Cricetulus griseus: one gene and its partner. The protein of the gene in region 2 purifies or fractionates together with the protein of the main gene of each other region. This does not show direct contact. Links are inferred from orthologs where the notes say so. Each region holds a gene or a part of one and is shown on either strand. Other genes may lie near its edges. The genes, in order: Rnf7 and Spsb2.

The links.
Region 1: the proteins of Spsb2 (region 2) and Rnf7 purify together in Homo sapiens (co-immunoprecipitation; 3 studies listed by BioGRID and IntAct, with this or other methods). This does not show direct contact. The link is inferred for Cricetulus griseus from reciprocal best matches to the Homo sapiens genes SPSB2 and RNF7.

The regions. Positions count from the first base shown.
Region 1 is NC_048597.1:205,069,307-205,076,375, forward strand, and holds the start of Rnf7 (RING-box protein 2), read right to left. Parts: upstream 4,180-7,069; 5' UTR 4,086-4,179; coding exon 3,911-4,085; intron 767-3,910; coding exon 719-766; intron 1-718. UniProt on the Homo sapiens protein: Catalytic component of multiple cullin-5-RING E3 ubiquitin-protein ligase complexes (ECS complexes), which mediate the ubiquitination and subsequent proteasomal degradation of target proteins.
Region 2 is NC_048601.1:21,604,433-21,610,970, reverse strand, and holds Spsb2 (SPRY domain-containing SOCS box protein 2), read left to right. Parts: upstream 1-2,240; 5' UTR 2,241-2,361; exon of another isoform or gene 2,362-2,410; intron 2,411-2,596; 5' UTR 2,597-2,676; coding exon 2,677-3,340; intron 3,341-3,646; coding exon 3,647-3,777; 3' UTR 3,778-4,002; downstream 4,003-6,538. Other genes in the region: Tpi1 (triosephosphate isomerase), read right to left, coding at 4,520-4,638, 4,763-4,850, 5,072-5,157, 5,628-5,760, 5,835-5,919, 5,997-6,120. UniProt on the Homo sapiens protein: Substrate recognition component of a SCF-like ECS (Elongin BC-CUL2/5-SOCS-box protein) E3 ubiquitin-protein ligase complex which mediates the ubiquitination and subsequent proteasomal degradation of target proteins.

The DNA of each region.
Region 1 (7,069 bases), on a different chromosome or scaffold from region 2:
TTTTCTTTTTGTTTTTGAGACAGGGTCTCACTCCACAGCCATGACTTGCCTGGAATTCAATAAGATAGAACAGGCTGGTGTCCAACTTGCAGTGACCTTCCTGCAATCCACTGGGAATACAGGTGTGTGCCACCACTCCTGGCCCTGTGGTTTTCTTAGCAGAAAATGTATTTCTTTCTGCTTAGTAAATTGATCTCATTTAAGTTTTTTGGGAACTAAAACATTTATTAGAAAGATGGGTGAATTCTTTCCCTTTTAGTTTTAATTCTGATTTTGTTTTTATTTCTAATTGAGTGTATAGGATAGGGCATGCATGCCACAGCTTCCCATGGAGGTCAGAGGACCTCTGTGGAGTCAGCTCTCTTCATTTTTAAGTGGGTTCTAGAGATCAAATTTAGGTCATCAGGTCTAAGAGTCAAGGACCTTTACCCTCGAGCCATCTTACCAGCCTCTAAAATGTCTGAGTATGTGTAATAATAATTAATTACTGCTTTATGGTTTTTTATGTACTGACAAAGCCATTTCTTTCTTTTCTTTTTTGGAAAACAGATCTCACTACATAGCGAAAGCTGGCCTCAGCCTTCCCAGTTCTGGGTTTACAGGCCTGGGTTATCGAGGCCAGTTTAATAAAGTCAATTTTAATTCTAAATTCAAATATTCCCACAGAGATGGAAGAAAACCTCCAATTGAAAAGGCAGGAGGAAGAATTACCACATACCAACACAGTCCTCTTGTTTGTTTTCGGCTTGACATCTGAGGCAGGCATCTAAAAGCAAACAAAGCAAATCTCATCTGAGGTACAGGAGGCAACACTGGAAACCCAGATCTTCAAAGTCAAACAAAAGCCCCGAGGATCAGAGATGAAGATAAGAGTCTCGTATTATTAGTTTCTCATCTAAAAATAACTACTTAAAGAGAAATAAAATACATGGCATTCTACTAATTCACTTATGACCAATGTTTCACAAGGGCTAATGATGATTTTTACAAGTTCATATGTCAGGATAGTTTGGCAGTGGCATTAGAGAAAGTCACTCAAAGATGCCAACTATACCATAACAAATTATTGTAAGCTCACCAGCTTGCTCACTCACACAGACCAACCGTTAGACACAATTGTGATTATACTCATTCATTATTTGTTCATACACACATAAAGATCTAGAATCCGCTGAGGAATCAATAAAGGTTTTTGTTTTGGAGATAGGGTCTCACACAGCCCCTGCTAGCCCTAACCTGAACTGCCACACTGCAGACGATGACCTTAAAATCCTGCCTCTACTCAAAGTTTGGGATTACAGGCATGTGCCGGTTTTTTTTTTTTCTTTTCTTTTTTCTTTTTTTTTTTGTAAGCAAAATTCCTTTCCTTTGTTTTGAGACTGGGTTTCATGTTGCTCAGGCTGGCCTCAAACTATGTAGCCTAGGAAGGCCCGAACCCCCAATCCTCAATGTATTCACACAATGCCAAAGTACTTAAATAAATTACTTAAGTGTAAACACTAGAAATGGAAACCTAAGAGTATGCTACAAGTTTCTAAAATTCAATCTGTACAATACTTTAGGGACCAATGAAACTGATTCATTCTTTAAATGTATAAGCAGTGCAAATCAGGTAAAAGGAGGCTCACACTGACAGAAAAGGCTTGTTTTTAATTATGTATGTGTGCCTAAATGTGGGTATATACATGCAAGTGCCCTTGAGGTTCTGGATACCGATGGAGCTGGAGTTACTAGCAGTTTGTGAGTTGCACAACTTTGGTGCTAAGTATGTTAAGAGCAGTATGTGCTCTTCACCACTGAGCCATTTCTCCAGATCCAGAAAGAAAGAGGCCGAGGCAGGAGGACCCCTGTGAGTTCACAACTAGCTTTGTTACAATGTGTTGCTAGTACCAGGGCTAGAGGCATTCAAAAGGTTAAAAAAAATAATAATAAAAATAAACATCTAGTGTGGATTGAAACTACTCCCTCCCTCTTCTCACACTGGCTCAAGCACATGACACACCTGTGCCTGGCTCCAGCTCTGGTGGTCTCTGAACTCTAATGCTAGAATTGTCGAAGGCAGAGATCCTGCCTCACCTCCCGAGTGGTGGGACTAAAGGCCCGCACCACCAACTCCCAGTTAATAGTTTATGTGTATGCATGTTGTGCCTGCCTGTGTGTCTGTGTACCATGTTTATGCAATGCCCACAGAGAAGGGCCTCAGGTCTCTAAGACTGGCATTACAAATGGTTGTGAGCCACCATGTGGGTGCTGGGAATTAAACTCAAGTCCAATTCCCTGGAATTGGAAGAGCAGTCAATGCTCTTAACCACTGAGCCATCTCTGCAGCCCACAGCAATTTAATAAACTCTCACATAATTTATGTTACTTGCATACATTTATGCACCGTATGTGTCTAGTGCCCTCTGAAGCCAGAATAGTGTTGGATAAACTGGAACTGAAGTTACAGAGGGTTGTGAACTGCCATGTGGGTGTGGGAAATCTGTATGGACAATCTTCACTCTTCGGAAACATCTCTCCAGCCCCTGGTTTTTTGTTTTTTTGTTTTTGCTGGAAGCTGGTCTCAAACTCTCCTGCTTCGGCCTCCAGAGCATTACAGGTGTTAACCGACACTTTGGAAACCTATGTTAAGCTGGGATGCAGCTCAGTTGGTAGTTTGCCTAGCCTGAAGGAATTCAATCCCCATCATGCCACAGACATTTCTACAAATTTCATCGCTTGGGAGGAAGCAGGAAGATCTGGAGTCCAAGGCCACCCTGGACTATACAAGACTGAATGAGTCTAAAAGAGAAATAAATAAGAGCTGCGATGGTGGCACACGCCTTTGATCCCAGCACTAGAAACGCAGAGGCAGGCGGTTATCTGAGTTTGAGACCAGCCTGGTCAGCACAGAGAAACCCTGTCAACAACCACCAGGCCCCCCCCCCCCCAAGAGAAACTGACAGAAACAGGGTTCTTTTCAAGGTGGGCTGAGCTCTTAAACTATGTAAAACTCAACGAGATTACGATTTTTTGATACGTTTCATTTGGTCCAACATTTTCGTTCAAAATACTAAAATGTTGGACTACTAATGAGGCCAGGCGTTGGTGGTGCACACCTTGGGAGGCAGAGGCAGGAGGATCTCTGTGAGTTCAAGGTCAGCCTGGTCTACAGAGCAAGTTCCAGGACAGCCTCCAAAATAATACAGAGGATCCCTGTCTCGAAAAAACAGGCAAACAAAAAAATGGACTACTAATGAAAGAAGGTTCTTCGAAAGGGCACAAAAGGGTGGGAAGGGGACATAATTAAGTTTCATGTTTCTGAATCAAGCAAAGGCTTTTCTATCCTTGGATTCCCATAAATCTAAAATACTCTTTTGTCCCTCGCCTCAAGACATGCGAGCTCTATCTGACTCGGTCAATGTAAATTTTAAAAGCCAGCCAAATAGCTGCAGAGAACCCATACAAATGGCTGCGCATCATTTCGGTGGCGACAGAGCCATGAAACAAGATCCGCACGGTGGCGCAGGCTCGTCATCTCCAGAATTTGGAAGGTGCGGGCAGGGGCACCAGGAGTTCAGGGCCAACCTCGGCTAAATGGGCAAGTTCCAAGCCAGCCTGGGAAACATGAGCGTCTCTCCCCCCCAAAATCATTAACTAATCAATTAATTAGTTAATTAATTAAATGAACGCTTAGATCCACGAGAGGGCTCGGCTGTGAGGTCTGCGGGCCGCTGGGCTACCAACACAACCCCGGAGGTTCCCACGGGTTCCGAGAGACGGTCCAGCTGTCTCCTCGGCCACGCCCCCCGCCCCTCCCCGCAGGACTCACCCAGCGCGGGCAGCTCGCCCCCCCCCCCCCCCGTCGCCCGCGAAGCTCGCCCAGCAGGCCGCGTCACGGCCCCGGCCTCGCGTGCAGCGCTTTGCTTACCCATCACCTGGACCCTGCAAATGGCGCAGGTATCGCACTCAACGTCCCAGCTCCACATGGCTACCGCGTTCCACTTCTTGAGGGAGAACATCTTGTCGCCCCCCGACTTGGAGCCCGCAGTCCCGCTGTGTGAGGACAAGACGCAGGTTTCCTCGCCCTCCTCCACGTCGGCCATGGCGGCGGCGCAGAACGGCGACGCGGACGTTGGGCGCTGAGGCGGGAGGTATGGCGGCTCACTAGGGCCCAAATGCACGCCACAGCGCCTCCCGCAGGTCCCGCCGCGCAGCCAGAGGAAGGCGGCGCTGATGGCCTGGCGCGGCCCGCTGACGTCACGCGGGAGGGGCGGGGCCTGCTGATCGTCCGTGGTGGCCTCGGGCGTTTACTGCAGAGCTGGCAGAGGACAGTGAGAGAGCCTTGCCCTGCGTCCTTCTTTACCAAACCCGGAGCTCTCGGAAATCACCTTGTTTCTGCCTTCATTAGACTCCTCTCTCCGAAATGTGAACTATCAGAGTAGGGAGAAAAGGCTCTTCCATCACCGTAACCTCCATATCTTACAAAAAGCCTGGCCACAGGAGGTGTGTGTGACTTGGTACAAGTCACGACTTTAGAGATCCAGGAATCCGGTTCAGTGGGTCTCAATTTGGGCATGGGAGTCTTGGATTTCTATTTCTTTCTTTTTCTTTCCTTCCTTCCATTTTCTTCTCTTTATCTTCCTTCTGCTTTTTTATTTATTTATTTTTAATAAGGTTTTTCTCACTATGTAACCCTGGCTGGCCTGGAACTCTCTGAAGACTAGGTTGGACTTGAACTCACAGACTCATTTGTCTCTGCCTCCGGAGTGTTGGGATTAAGGGTGTGTACCCCTATGCCCCGCATCTTGGATTTCTTTATTTCTTTATTTCTTTATTTGTTGGATTTCTTTACACTTCAAATTTATTAGGACCTTAACTTTTTCGTCATGGTTTTGTTTATTGTTGCCTTGTTTTGGTTTTCCCACACAGGGCCTCTCTGTGTAGTCCTGGCCATCCTGGAACTAGCTGTGTAGACCAGGCTGGCCTAGAACTCAGAGAGTTCCGACAGCCTCTGCCTCCCAAACCTGGGACTAAAGGTGTGGGCCACCACCCCGGGCTTTTGTTTGTTGTTTTGAGACAGGGTCTCACTATGTAGCTCCACCTGGTCTGGAACTCACAGTTTAAACCAGGCTGGCTTTGTATTCACAGAGGTCCATCTGCCTCTGCTGCTCAGATTAAAAGTGTGCACCACCAGCCGTGGGTATTGGGATCTGCAAAGGCTTTTGTTTATGGAAAAGATAGCTGAAATCCAAATCCGTTTATTTGCTTGCTTTGAGGCAGTTTCATCTTTTAAACCAAGTTGGCCTAGGACTCATTATGTAGCCTGAATGGTACTTCCATCATGGAGTCAGTTGTGCTAAGGTCTTGGGGGCCCTCTTACAATTAAGATTAACCTCATGCCTTAGAGTCACTTGGTCTCAAAGCTCAGGGAGGGTTATAGTGTTTTTAAATGCAAAAATCACAAAGACCATAATTCACATGACAAAGTAACCTTGAAACATTCATTCCTGGCAGAAGTTTACTTCAGACACAACACAAAAATTATTTTTGACTTAGATCTTCTTCAATTATTCTAGTTTATGTCAATTATTTTGGTTAACACATCTGGACCATGGGCAAGGCCATGGAAATTCAAGTGTGTCAGCAGGGTAGATGTGACCATTGTGGGAGTGGGTTTGGGTAGAGGGCTGAGAACTGTCTAAGGGAATACAGTCAGGACAGGATGGCATTACTATGATCACTTCTCCTCCTCTGTAGGAGAGTCTTTGTTCCAAACATTGAAAAGATGCTTGGGTTTGCTTCAGAGACTTCCCTTTAATGCAAACACGTTTAAGCCCTTCGGGAAGAATCTTATTCCCATCACAAGTGAATGTTTCCATTGTTTATTTCTTTGGTCCTCATTTTCTCATTCCTTCATGCCATTCATCTTTATGAAAACAGTCTTTCCTGTGGTTAAAGAGGAAACACTCTCCAAGCCCTCTTAAATTCAGTTCTTGTTGGCTTGTGAGTCACACAGACAAGAAGGCTAGCAAGAGAAAAGGCGGGTTTTTATTTGTATAAGTAGAATTCACAGAAAAGACAAAAGGCAGTCTAGATTTAGAGTTTGTATACCAGCTGTATAAGGAAAAGGAAGGTTAAGAAAAGGTGAAGGGGGGATGTCTTAGTTTGCTTTGAAAACCATGATCAAAAGCAACTTTGGGAGGAACTGGTTCATACATCTAGATTACAGTCCATCACCGAGGGAACTCAGGTTGGGAAGGAACCTGGAGGCAGCAACTGAGGCAGGGACCATGGAGGAATGCTGCTTACTGGCGAGAGCCCTTGGTTTAGTTATTCAAGTTAGGACCACCTGCCCAGATCCACCACCACCCTCAGTGGCCTGGGCTCTCCCATACCAATAGTTAGTCAAGAAAATGCCCCCACAGACTTGCCTACAATCAATGGAGGCATTTTCTCAATTGAGGTTCCCTCCTCCAAGATGACCCTTGTGTCAAATTGACAAAAAACTAACCACCACAGGGTGCTATAGGAAATTTAAGATAAATGGAACCCCATAAATCTATTACCTCATTTTCCAAAGAAAATTTGAAACAGAAACTGGTGGAGGAAAATGGGTTTATTTACAGTTTGGCCAAACGGGGCGAGAACAACTCCTGTTTTTTTTCTCTGTCCATTCTGTAGCAGTGCTATAGTTCTGAACTTGATGAAGCAGAGGTCAGGAAATGTGAAGAACGGTGACTCAATGAGTCCTGTGAAGCTTCCTGTGCTGGAGCCTCCTCCACTGGCACCAGGCAATTCCATCACCCATGCCCTGGGCCAATTTTAATTCTGTTTTTTTTCCTATGGGGACTTGCGGTTCAGAAAGGGTCTTGGTGTGTAGCCCTGCTTGGCCTGGACTCACTATAGGTGAGGCTTGCTTTGGACTTGCAACAATCCTCCTGCCTCTCCAGTGTTGGGATTACAGGCCTATACCACCACACTAGGTTTGAAAAGCTTTAGGGCCTATGATTTTAGGTCTGTTTCAACAGTCCTTAGCCTACTACACTTTCACAACCAACCACTTTTGCATTTTCCCATTCATCAGTTT
Region 2 (6,538 bases):
GGCCAGTGTTTGGTTCTAGCACCCACACAGTAGTTCGAAACTGTAACTCCAGTTCCAGAGGCTTATGTGTCCTTCTCTGGCTTCCTTGGACGCCGAGAAAGGGCATGTTACACAGACATACATGCCTGCATGCACTCAGAAAGTGAGTTTTTTTCCCTCTTAAGGTTCTGTCTTAAGTTGCAATTCAAACCTCCTACTAGAGGAGATAGCCTTTTGATGGAAGGAGTTCAAGACTAGCCAAGGATGGACTCACAGTTTTAGAAATGACTTCAACCTGCAAAACATGCAGACTATGAATAAGGCTGTGTCTGGGGGAAGGGGCAACAAATGCACCTAGTTCATTAGTGTCACTGGCAAAAGCACTGTCTTCCAGAATGAGGTATCTTCCAGGGGAAAATGCCCAACTGTGTTTCTGTTTCCCAACTAGAAACTTTAAGCCTTGGTTGGAAAGCAACTAATGACCTTTCATCTTCTTCCAGACCCATTGGCAGTGCGTTCTACAGAGCTACAAATCCTGATTCCCCTTCAAAAAAGATTTTTAAATTATGTTCATGGATGTCATACCCTTTGGAGTATCAGGGAAAGAGTAAGAAAAAGTATTCTGCAATGCCAGCAAAGTTTTTGTTTTTATTTTTACCCTTTTGGTGGTGGTCAAGCAAGTATGTGCACACACACAGAATTCACTGAGTAACACTGGAGGTATATCTCAATGGTAAAGCAATGCTTGCTTAGTATATAGGACTTCAATTTAATTTCTAGCACCCAAAAAGAAACAATCACATATAATAGGGCAACTTAGGGTAGCATATTATTACATCCAAACCTGTTTTTAAAAAGATTATTTTGTTTTGCCTGCTGGCATACACCAGCACTTGGGAAGCAGAGGCAGGCAAATCTCTGAGTTCAAGGCCAGCGTGGTCTACAAAGCAAGTTCCAGGACAGTCAGGGCTACACAGAGAAACCCTTTCTTGAAACAAACAAACAAACAAACAAACAATCCAAACTTTATTTTACATGTATATTATTTGTTTTCCATGAATGTGTCTGTGCCGCATTTGTGCAGAAGTCAGAAGAAAGCATTAAACTCCCTGGAACTAGATGGTCGTGAGCTGCCATATGGGTGCCGGAACATGAACTAAAAGCAACCAGTGCTCTTAACTACTGAGCCATCTCAGCAGGCCCACATCTGAATTTTAAAAAGTTAAAATTAGCCATGATGTGACTCATACCCCTATAATCCTAGTGCGTGAAGCCGAGCTAAGAGGAGCAGGAATTCAAGGCCTGCTCTTGGCTACATAGCCAATTTTGTCCTAGGATGGGCAACACGACACCTTTTCAAACCCAAACAAACAAACAAGAAGTTAGAAACAGGCCGGGCACGGTGGAATACTCCTTTAATTACAAAATTTAGGAGGTAGAGGCAGGCCGACCAATGCCCAGGCCGTTCTAAGCCAGTCAAGGCTACAGAGTGAGCCACCGTCGGGAACAAAAGTTAAAATTACCTGTAGCATTATGGGATATTTGAATTGTTATCAATAGACATTTGAGGAGGTCAAATGTCAACGGCAACCTCCCCCCACGATAATGCAGCTAGTGATCTCCGTTCACTCAAAAGTAACCCTTGAAGCACACCCACTAAGCAGTCTCATTACCGAAGGAGGCTGGGGCAGGAGGATGACCGGCTACCGCTTCAGCAACATAGGAAACTCAGGGGGCAAACATAGCCCCTACGTTCTACGGAATGGGAGCAGTAGTTCCGGAAGGGTGTCAATGCCTCTCTGCCCCAAAGGGCCTGGGGGATGACTCGCCCAGGCAGCACAAAGGTCTCCAGTGGAGAACACGCTCCCCAGAGAATCCAAGGCGATGATGTCATCAAAGGGTTAATTCCAGCCGCGGACGCGGGGGAGGGGCTGGGGCGGGGCACACAGCTGTCAGGTGGCATCGCAAAGGTTAACTGCGGGGGGGAGGAGCCCCACGACGGGGAAGATCGAGTCCTGGGAGGGGACAAGAGGGCTGCCCGCCCGCCCAGAGTGGGCTCCACAAAACACGCGCGCCCGTCCACGACTGGCGTCACCGCAGATTCTTTGCCTCGATTCCTTGCAGCCAGTGAGGTTCCCGCGGGGGGCGTGGCGTGGCGTGGCGGGCGTGGTCTGGGCGGTGACGTGAGGGTCAACCACCTAAGAGCCTGGGGGCGGGGCCGGGTCGGGGGCGGGCCGGGCCGGGGGCGGGGCGCGGGCCGGCGTCCTGCATCCCCGCTGGAGCCGGAAGCAGTCGCGGGCCAGGGGCGCGAGCGCTCGCCCAGCCTACCCCTGTCTAGCCGGGCTTCGGCCGAGGTCCCTGCCGGCTGGCGAGCCCAGCGAGGTGCGGGGGAGAGGGCGAGCGTTAGGGACGGCAAGGGCGACGGTCCATGGTGAAGTCTGGGGCGGGGGGGTGAACTAGGGAGAAACTTGGGTGGGGGGAGCCCGGCGCAGATGGGGAGAAAGCAGGGTTGGGGGACCAAGAGCAGGCTGGTGGTCACACCCGGGTGAAGGGATGACGGAGGCGCTAGGGGAAGATGCTGCGCCTCACAGTCCCTTCTCTCCCCACACCGCTCCAGGGCACGATCGGGAGTCCAACTTTCAGAAGAGAGACTCCCCAGCAAGCCCGCTTGGAGGGTCCCCCCCGGCTGCTCACCTCATGGGCCAGACGGCCCTTGCAAGGGGCAGCAGCAGCACCCCCACCTCGCAGGCTCTGTACCCTGACTTCTCTCCTCCCGAGGGCCTGGAGGAGCTCCTGTCTGCTCCCCCTCCTGACCTAGGGGCCCAGCGACACCACGGCTGGAACCCCAAGGATTGCTCCGAGAACATCGACGTCAAGGAAGGGGGGCTGTGCTTTGAGCGGCGCCCCGTGGCCCAAAGCACTGATGGAGTCCGGGGAAAGAGGGGTTACTCGAGGGGCCTGCATGCCTGGGAGATCAGCTGGCCCCTGGAGCAGAGGGGCACACACGCCGTGGTGGGCGTGGCCACCGCCCTCGCCCCGCTGCAGGTCGACCACTATGCGGCGCTTTTGGGCAGCAACAGCGAGTCCTGGGGCTGGGATATTGGGCGGGGAAAATTGTATCATCAGAGTAAGGGCATTGAGGCCCCCCAGTACCCAGCTGGACCTCAGGGTGAGCAGCTAGTGGTGCCAGAGAGACTGTTGGTGGTTCTCGACATGGAGGAGGGGACTCTGGGCTACTCTGTTGGGGGCACCTACCTGGGACCGGCCTTCCGTGGACTGAAGGGCAGGACCCTCTATCCCTGTGTAAGCGCTGTTTGGGGCCAGTGCCAGGTCCGCATCCGCTACATGGGCCAAAGAAGAGGTGAGACCTGGAGTAGGTGTGGGGAGAGAATTACCACTCTGGGCAAATGGTTTGGGATGGAAACTCATGCTTGGCCCACAGGAAAGGGGGCTTCATATCACTTTGGCTTGCCACTTAGATGGCTTTGGCTCTAGCTTCGCTCCCGGGCCTTAACTGGATGTGTGATGCAGAAATTCTGAGCCTTAGATCTCCCTGAGCTGTGAGGCAGATGGAGGCAGAATTGGAGGAAAAGAATTGGGGAGCCTGAGTTTGAGGATGTCTGGCTGGAGTTGTGCCTCTACTGACCTTGCCTTCCTTTTCTCTCAGCCGAGGAACCACAATCCCTTCTGCATCTGAGTCGTCTGTGTGTGCGCCATGCGCTGGGAGATACCCGGCTTGGCCAAATATCCACTCTGCCTTTGCCCCCTGCCATGAAGCGCTACCTGCTCTACAAATGACCCTGAAGCACCAGATGGTACAGGCACCTGGTCATCCTCAGTACCGTGGGGACAGGTGGAGAGGCACCATCGATTGGCCTAGACAAAACCAGTGAAGCTGAGGGGAGAAGAGGCTGGACCCCTTCACTAACCCTTATAGAGGGGCGAGACGTGGAAGTGAAATTAAAGGCTGTGGCAGCCTGGTGCAAAAGATGTTTTTCAAGTAAAAACTGAGATGTATTGTCACAGCCTGTTTTGTTTTTGTTATGCCACTTTCCCCGTGAAAACATGCAATGAAGATGACAAACTACAAAGCTTGGGGCCAGGTGTTTATTTCCTTTACATGTAAGATGGTTCACAAACACAGTACTAGGGCTTCGGCATTGTGGGAGATGGGACACCCCTGGCCTCTCAGAGCAAGAGGACGTTGGCCTAAGTGTACACTGAGAAGGAAAAGGAAGGTGGTTTTACTCTCCTGCCCTGGTGAGGACCTGAAGGGACAGTCAGTTGCGCTTCTTCCGCTCCGCCAGCCAGGAAGCCACTTTGGTGAAATAGGTGACATTATTTCATTCATTGTAAGTGGTAAAGGGATTGGCCTGGTCCCAACCTTTATAGGGAGGTGTCAAAGGTGTAGGAAGGTACAGTGTGGATTAGCAAACAAGATGGGGCGATGACATCAGAAGCATGTGACTTGTGGGAGCAGTTCCTAAGCTCCTGGGCAACCTAATCCTGGCCTAGCGGAGGGTAGGGAAGATGCTGGTGTTTAACATTTGGCATTGATGATGTCCACAAACTCAGGCTTGAGGGAAGCACCACCCACAAGGAAGCCGTCCACATCAGGCTGGCTTGCCAGCTCTTTGCAGGTTGCTCCAGTCACAGAACCTGTAACATTAACAGGAAGATGGTTTGGTCAGGGATAGGATTAGTCCACGGAGGCCCCACCTCTCTGTGGGGCCTCAGTCTATCTTAGCCCACTTCCACCTTGGCTGGAGCCAAACCCCCTCACCTCCATAAATGATTCGGGTGCTTTGAGCCACTGCATCAGAGACATTGGATTTCAGCCATCCCCGAAGCTTCTCGTGTACTTCCTGGGCCTAGAAAGAAGAGGTACACTAAGTAAGACCTTTCCTGTTCATTCAAAGAGAACAAGCAACCCATTGGTGCTTGTATGGAGGGTTTAGTTTCTGGAAAAGTCTTGGGATCAGAATAGCAAGGCTCCAATCCCAGACAGGGAAAACATCCTTGGCAAGTCACTTTTTTTGTTGAGTTGGGGACGGGGGGGACGGGGGGATGGGGCTTCTCGGCAATTAGTTACCTGTTGAGGTGTTGCAGTCTTGCCAGTACCAATGGCCCATACAGGTTCATAGGCCAGGACAACTTTGTTCCAGTCCTTCACATTATCTGCAGGGTGAAGATCAGGGAGAAAACTGTGAAGAGGAAGGAGCTGCCCAGCTAAGCTCTCTAGGGTGTAACAGAAATGGCTTGCAATTCCTGGTGGGCTTTTTTTCTCCACCCATTTTTTTTTTTTAAACAATTTGTGTGTGTGTGCTCACGCGAGCGCTAAGGCAAACATACGGAGGACAGAGGACAACTTGCAGGAGTTGGTTCTCTCCTACCATGTGGGTTTGGAGGATCAAATAGGCTCTCAGGCTTGGCAATAAGCACCCTTACCCACAGAGCCATTTCACCAGCCCCTAGAGGCTTTTGAAGGTAGGGTTTCCACCTTCTGCAGAAACAGAAGTGACAAAGACTATGCAAGTTGCCCTCTCTTTTCCTGGCTCAACATATCAGGTAGGCTGCAGGGTTTTTGACCTCCCCACCCCATCTCTGTGGCCCTTGCTAGGCTCAAAGGTCCCTTTCTCCTGAGATACCTGCGATGGCCTTGGTTTGCTCGAAAACAACCTTGTCGGTGGTGCCGGCCTCCCTTTCATCTAGCTTCTCCCCAATGCAGGCGATCACTCCAAGGCCCTCGGATAGGGCATGGGCCACTTTCTGTCCAATCAACTGGCAAAGAACAAATACAGTGAGCCACCCGCCTCGGATGAAAGCATCTCCCAACTCCTCCTCTGCTTACTGACCTCATCGGACTCCCCAAAGATGTGCCTTCTCTCCGAGTGCCCTAGCACTACCCATTCGGCTCCTAAGTCTTTGATCATGCCAGGGCTAAAACATAAACACCAAGGTTCAGCAAGGGTCCACAAGGAAGGTTCCCTCTACATCCCTCTCTGCCTCCATCTCACCTGATCTCCCCAGTGAAGGCCCCACTGTTCACTTTGTAGCAGTTCTGTGCAGCCACAGCAATCTTGGGATCTAGCTTCTGCCTGACAAAATCGATGTAGGCGGCGGGGGGCGCACAAACCACCTCTGAGAATGAGATCAAAGAAAGCCGTTACTCTCCAGGCTTGCTCTCACGCCTTCACTTTCTTGGTTCTGTTTTCCTCGATTTTTCACTTCAGAAGGATGACCTTTGTTCACTGCACAGCCCCGGCTGGGCCTGTACCAATTCCATAGCCTTCTGAATGCTCATGATAGGCCAAGGCCCTTACCCTGTCCTCTGCTCTTGTAACAGCTGTGGCTCTAATTTCCTCAGGCTATTCCGGGAATGGGAACCTCCTAGACTCAGCACTCTCCGGGGGCCAACCTTTTCTAAAATAGCCCATCCACACTTCTCCAACCCAGCAAGGATTTTTCGCTTCAGGAGAATAGGCCAGGTACTGGAGTCTGTATTGGGCTCCTTAGGAAATAAATCAGCAGACAATACCCTTTGGTTACTCTCAAGGTT